2 linked regions of the Drosophila melanogaster genome follow. The protein of the gene in region 2 interacts with the protein of the main gene of each other region in a pairwise test. Each region holds a gene or a part of one and is shown on either strand. Other genes may lie near its edges. The genes, in order: mRRF1 and CG9577.

Region 1 (3,402 bases), on a different chromosome or scaffold from region 2:
AACTATCCATGATCGATCTGGCGGGCAGTGAGAGGGCGGCCAGTACGAAAGGCATTGGAGTGCGATTCAAGGAAGGCGCCAGCATCAACAAAAGTCTCTTAGCTTTGGGAAATTGCATAAACAAGCTAGCCGACGGCTTAAAGCACATCCCGTACCGCGACTCGAACCTGACACGCATCCTGAAGGACTCGTTGGGCGGAAATTGTCGCACATTGATGGTGGCCAATGTCTCGATGAGCTCACTGACCTATGAAGATACCTACAACACCCTTAAGTACGCTAGCCGAGCTAAGAAGATACGCACGACTCTGAAACAGAATGTCCTCAAGTCCAAGATGCCAACCGAGTTCTATGTGAAGAAGATCGACGAGGTGGTAGCCGAGAACGAGCGACTCAAAGAGCGCAACAAGGCGCTGGAGGCCAAGGCCACTCAGTTGGAGCGCGCCGGCAATAGTGGATTCGATCCGCTGGAGCTTAAGACGTGGTACAGCAAGATAGACGCTGTATATGCGGCCGCCCGGCAGCTTCAGGAGCACGTCCTTGGTATGCGTAGCAAGATCAAGAACATCAACTACCGGCAGACACTGAAAAAAGAACTGGAGGAGTTCAGGAAGCTGATGTGTGTCGACCAGCGAGTGTGCCAGGAGGTGAGTTCGATTTTTCGATTTCAAATGGTACTAAGAGTCCAAATTTGTGCTCATCTAGTGTTTTTCTATTTCTGGAAGTTCATCTCAAGAGTTTTTAAGTTTAAACATTTACATTTATTAAGGCTTTTGGAGCGGAATCAGTCTTGGTCTTAGGCCTAATCGCCCAGCAGCTCCTTCTGCTTGCTGGCCAGCAACTTGTCCGCCTCCGAGATGAAGCGATCCGCGATGGCAGTGACCTGAGCCTGTGCGGCGAAGGCATCATCCTTGCCAAGTTCCGGTTGTTTTTTCAGCTTGCGAATGTGTTCGTTCTGAACGCCTCGTATGGCATCGCGATATTTGACGAACAGAGCTTTGGCATTCTTGGATAGATTTTCCCTGTGCTCCTTGGTGACCTTTGGGATGGGTATGAACAGTGTAGTGCCATCCTGTTGGGGATTAAGGTTCATGCCACTCTTTTCGATGGCTTTGAGGACATCGGGAATCGTTTGCGGGAAGCCAATCATGTTGACTATGATGGTCTTGGGATTCTTGCGAGAGATTTGGGCCAGTTCCTGCAGCTCGTGCTCCTGGCCATCGACTTTGATGCGCAGTGTGTCGATGGCACCGCTGGTGGATCGCAGCGACAGGTGCTTCACAAAATCCTCCTTCATCTGCATCACGGACTTCTGCATCTGGCTATTCAGGCCATCGAAATTGAGGATCTCGCGCAGCTGCTGCTCATTGATTTCCACCTTGCCCGGCTTTCCCTTGCCGCCTTTTTCCTTCTTTTTGTCCTTGCCCTTTGCATAATCGCGCGCCACTTGTAGATATTTCGTGTTTTCTAGATTATTTTGCAGGATTAGAGGTAATTTCGGTGAGGAGCTCGACACTCGCGTCTGGCGCACTCCTAGGGCAGCTAAATGCAGTGCACTTCGCAGCATTTTATTTAAATTTAATCTATTTTGTTTGGATTAAATGCGGAACTGATTTTCAATTGGGCAGCATCAGCTGTTTCTTTCCGATTCGTCGTAACAAACCTCAAACGTAAGGCATGTTAACGTAACGTAACGCTTACGTTGGCGGGTTTATTTGAAAAAAAAAAACTCATTACTTAATTTTAAAATGTATTATTACCATAAATACCCTTTTCTTATAAACTTTTCAGGACTTCCGTCGCTTTGCGAACTACATGAGCACACTGACCAGCCAGATGGAGAAGTACAAGGAGGAGTTGCCCAGCTGGCTGAGTAAAATGGAGATTGCCTACCAGGATCTAGAAAGTCTAAAGCGAGAGGTTAACAAATCAAAGGCCTACCAGATACTCATTGTATACGTTAAGTACAAGGATCTCGAGCTGCAGCTGACCAAGCAGAATATCTTTAACAATCACGTGAACGCAATTAACCAGGAGCTGGTTGAGAACTTGGATCTGATGCGAAAGTCCTTCCGAACAGCCTGCGAAGTGCTCAACCAGACGTACGATCGCCTCGAGGATGGTCAAAAGCTGACGCCGGAAATTGAGGCGGTCTTCGAAAGGTTGCTGCGAAAGATGCGGTTCGCCGATTCCGAGGCCAATACCAAAATGGCCGAGATGAATCCGTTGGCGGTGCCTGTGGCTCTGCGCAGCAGCGCCCAGGAGGAAGAAGAGCCCACATGCAGCCTCACGGCCAGCGCCAAAAAGCGACAAAGGCAAGCGGCTCAGAGCGACGACGATCTGCATTTGAGCATGGAGGACTTTGATAGCCAGGACACCGAATCAGATTCCGAGGAGCTGCACAGGACGTTTAAGAGGCCACGAAATCTAAACGAAACGCAGGTCCTGGGTCCCTGCAGCAGTAGTTCTAGCAGCAGTACTTCTAGCAGCAGTAGCGCAAGGAAGGCACTCACGGCGACGGTGACCAAGCCGCGAACCGTCCAACAGCGACTGGTCAGCGATCTGATATCCGATCAGAATGTGCGCGGTGGCAATGAAAAGATCAAGAAGGGTAAGGTTTTGCTTTCTAAATGTTATGCATTATGTATAAACTATTTCATCGCAGCGAAATTTTTTTGTTAATATGTGGACATGGCTCATAATCATTTATGCATGACGGAAATACTTTATGCTCATTACTTTGGTGTTTAATTGCAGCTCTACTCAAGTCGAATCACTTTACGGCGCAAGGACTTCAGAGAACGTTGGCGGCTGCTTCTCTGGCCAAGGAAAACGTAAAATACAACGCCAACTATGTGCGCAAGAGTCCACGAGCGCTAATGGCCAAAGGTGAGTTCGGCAAACTGTGCCTATTCAATCAGAGATTTTAATGCAATTCTTTACTGACAGCCCTTGCAGGCACCTCGACGCTTGCGAGAAAACCGCTGGGATCGGCCAGTAAGGAGCCGCCTTTGGTCAAATTCAATCGTGCTGCTTCGTTCCGCCTGAAGAAGTAGAAAACATGAACTCATTCAGTTAGTTTCAACTTGTGTTTGCCTTGAAGTAACAACTATTCCGCCAGGACCGAGACAGATTCATGTTCAAATTAACCATAGCTATAACCATATATATAGATAGAACACTAACTCCTCCAAACCCTAAGCTCGTTCGTTTTTTCGTTCTTTTGACCCATTACTTAACCTTGAATTTATTTATGTACTTTTTTTATATTTGTTTTGATAAATTGAAAGAAAGCTTTGCGTTACGCGCTCTAACTAAAAATATACAGCCGTTTCCTTGCCCTCATCCAAATTGTGTCTGTCGTCTCGGTGGTAGAAGCTTTGATCGCACGGCCAGAATTGG
Region 2 (3,836 bases):
GGCTGCCGGTAAAAACGCCACGGTGATCCACTACGTGGCCAACAGCCAGTTGTTGGGTCAGCAGGATCTCGTGCTGATGGACGCCGGCTGCGAGTATGGCGGCTACACCAGCGACATCACACGCACCTGGCCGGCGAGTGGGGTTTTCACGGAGCCGCAGCGCACACTGTACGACATGCTGCACCAGCTGCAGGAGGAGATTATTGGCAACGTGATGAAGCCGGGCGGCGAGACGCTCGACCAGCTGTTCGAGACCACCTGCTACAAGCTGGGCAAGTACTTGCAGGAGATCGGGCTGGTGGGCAAGTCGTTCAGCGAGTACAAGGAACTGGTCAGCCAGGGCTACCGCTTCTGTCCGCACCACGTCTCCCACTACCTTGGGATGGACGTGCACGACACACCGCACGTGCCACGCAACACACGCATCGTGCCCGGCATGGTCTTCACCGTTGAGCCGGGCATCTACATTGGCCAGGATTGCGGCGACGTGCCGCCCGAGTTCCGGGGCATCGGCATCCGCATCGAAGACGATCTGCTCATCAACGAGAACGGCCACGTGGAAGTTCTAACTGAGGCGTGCGTCAAGGATCCACGCGCCCTGCAGGAGCTTTGCAAACAGCAACAGAAGAACCCCGGTGCCTCATCCGCGGAGGCGTTTTAAGAGCTCACAACGAAAACCAAATTCCTAGTCATAAGCCTTTCATTCTCCCGACAACCTTATGAGCTGATTTGGGTCCTAAAGTAAAGGCAGATGCTGTATTTATAAATGCACACATGGCAAATACATTTTAAATTCTGTCAGATTGCAGATTACATATTACAGGTTACCGATCACAGCTTGGCGAACACTGGCTTATCGTCCTTCGTCAACTGGGCGGCCACAGCCTGGGCGAAGTCCTCCGACAGCAGGTTGAGCTTGTTCAGCAGGAGCTGCAAGGTGTGAGGCGTGAGGCGTGGTTAGCTCGTGCAAATTCGTTGAGATATTAGGATACCCACAATGTGATCCAAGCCCTCTTGATTGGTGTGCTCCAGGGAGTACACGAGGCTCTCCTTGGTTGTCTTTACGGCGACGGGACTCTTGCTAGCGATGAGCTCGGCCACGGCCAGGGCTCCGGTCAGCAGGGAATCCTTGTCTGGGAAGAGGCGACTCACCAGGCCCGAGGAGTGGGCCTCGGCGGCCTCGAATTTGCGCCCAGTGAAGCACAGCTCGCGGGCGAGGGACTGACTGCCCACTGCCTTGGGCAGACGCTGCAGGGTGCCCACGTCGGCGGCCATGCCGATGTCCACCTCCTTGACCTGGAAAAAGGCGTCCTCGGTGCAGTAGCGAATGTCGGCGGCGGTAATCAGGTCCACGCCGGCGCCGATGCACGCCTTGTGCACCGCCGTGATGACCGGCTTGGGGCAGTGCTCCAGGCTGCTGATTGAGTCCTGGTACACCTTGATCATTCGCTCCATGGAGACGCCCTTGCGGGCGTAGTCATCGGTCTCGGCCAGCGTTTGGCCCACGTTTATCATGTCGTTGAGGTCGATGCCGGCGGTGAAGTGCTTTCCGGAGGCGGACAAAACGATAGCCCGGCAGTCGGGATTAGTGGCCAGTCCGTCGAAGCACTCCTTGATCTCCCTGGAAATGGGTAACGCAGTTTGGGTTAGCAGTCTGCGGAACAGGAAACGGGAAGCTATTGGATAACCCACAGCCACATCTGCTTGCTTATGGCGTTGAACTTGCTGGGCCGATGGAGCTCCACATGAAAGACGAACGGCTTGGGCGAACTGACGGCCAGCGTCTTGAAAGAGCCGGTGGGTCCGGATTCCGGGAGGGCGGAAAGGTTTCTCTGCATCTTAAGGGATCCGATGGCTGACGGGAAGTGCAATTGATTGGACTTTTAAAACGATGAAGAGACAAAGGTTCAATCACCGGTGTTCGGACTTTGAACCGAACCCAAATTTCGAACGCAGAAGGCTGGATGTCGGATTATCGAAGTCCCCGATACTTACCCGTGGGCTTGGGCGTTAGTTTCATCAGAGTGTTCAGGCGGGAGAGCGACATAATAAACCTTCTTTTCACTGGTTTCAAATCAAATCTACTTGTTGCGGCAGCTAAATTTGTTTTGTTTGCTTAACGATACGTAGCAGTGCTGCCACCCGGCAGAAATATTCAAAATAAGGCGGGCTCTCGGCTTATCAAAGCTACTGGATATATTTCACTAGCAGATTTTCAATGGATTTTTCTGGCTGCATAAGGACACAGTTGTTGCAATAAATGGGTTGTAGGTAAAATCAAGTCGTTGCGGCAGAAATTTGTTCGGCTACTATATCAATACGGTGTTTTGCTGCCACCCGGCTGGAGGATTCTAACTTAAAAAGTTTTGCATCAAATTCGCGTCAATGCGAATGTGTATTATTATTTATTTTTTCGTTGTTTAGAGGAGTATTCCAAAAAATAAAAATGCTAGAATGTTCAGATAAGAATTATCCAACTATATATGTACGACTTAAGTTTATAGGACTCAAGAAAGTATATAAAATGCGCAATCGAAAAATCAGGTTCACCATTCTTTGGAGAATATTTCCACTCGCAGAGCCTGTTCCTAATTGCACGCTAGCCCATCTTAAGGGACATTTCTTGTGCCTTGCTTACCTAAACCGAATTAGGTAATGATCCTGGAAAAATGCAGTGGGAGGAGCTTAAAGCATTTAAAAATGCCGCCTGGAATTCACCTCAAAATACGAAAAAAAATTAATAAGTACATAAAAAACGATGCCATGTTCCATTTTCTTCCGTTCCGACATAGCCGCTAACTCATCGACGCTAACTTGACGCACATAACAAGACGCACATAAAATTGCCATGAACAGATATTATTCTCGAATCTATCGATGTATCGTCCCAGCTTCCATCACTTCTCAAAGTTATCGAAAATTTGAGTTCTGCTTGCCACAATCTAAAAATCAGAAAATCATAAAGGTGCATAGTCTCGAAGCAGAAGCTCACAGGTCAGAGAAGAAATTTTCGGAATAAAAAAATAAATATAACAAGTTTTCAAAAATAACTCCGCACCAAACCCATTTAACCAAATCAAAAGCTTAAAGCAGTGAATAGTGTTATTTTTAAAAATTTAGCACAAATAAAAAGTTCGGGAATTCAACGCTTTTTGGTAAGTTTTCATAATGAAATAGCATTGTGCAATGAATTGTAACACAAATACATATATCTACTTGAAAAGGCATTAATTAGAACCCCTATACACATACTTTGAAAATAAAGGACTGCAACTTTCATTCAATTCGCATTTGCCCCAGGTTACGGCAATTTTCGAGGAAATTCGTAGAAACAGAAATAAAACCGAGAGTTTGACGCTTGCCAACTCTGGCAGTAGGGTTGCCCCTAAGCGTTTTTCCAACTGTTTAATTATTTGTGCAGGACTTTACATTGAATTGGCACACGTGTTTTTTGAGACAGCCACAAAACAAAATCTTCAACTGAAACCCGCCATGTTTTTGTTATGCTAGCCGAATGTATATAAATCAAAGAAGCGTTTCCGACCCCATAAACCTTACAAACTATATATATATATATGTTATACATATATTCTTGATCATTTGCTTAATAATATTCCCGATTTGCTTGTGTGAATCTCAAACTGTTGCCGCCAACTTCTTGGTATTAAGGGACACGTGCTTCACTTGTCAACAGAAGCTAACTGGCAAATTGTGTTCAGATTAGACTCTTAGAAACCCATTAAGAGTTAAAAAAAATCAATCGATGGGAATTTATAGAAACAGAATCGTCTCCGACCCTATAAACCCTACAGACTATATGTGCATATTTGTATATT

What was found.
Region 1: the proteins of CG9577 (region 2) and mRRF1 interact in a two-hybrid assay, tested with the Drosophila melanogaster proteins (one large-scale study listed by BioGRID).

The regions. Positions count from the first base shown.
Region 1 is NT_037436.4:9,362,582-9,365,983, reverse strand, and holds mRRF1 (mitochondrial ribosome recycling factor 1), read right to left. Parts: upstream 1,635-3,402; 5' UTR 1,568-1,634; coding exon 803-1,567; 3' UTR 744-802; downstream 1-743. Other genes in the region: Klp67A (Kinesin-like protein at 67A), read left to right, coding at 1-647, 1,792-2,611, 2,758-2,889, 2,950-3,056; CG34456 (uncharacterized protein), read right to left, coding at 3,315-3,402.
Region 2 is NC_004354.4:20,164,976-20,168,811, reverse strand, and holds CG9577 (uncharacterized protein), read right to left. Parts: upstream 2,140-3,836; 5' UTR 2,048-2,139; coding exon 1,996-2,047; intron 1,856-1,995; coding exon 1,693-1,855; intron 1,622-1,692; coding exon 997-1,621; intron 931-996; coding exon 832-930; 3' UTR 732-831; downstream 1-731. Other genes in the region: CG9581 (uncharacterized protein), read left to right, coding at 1-661.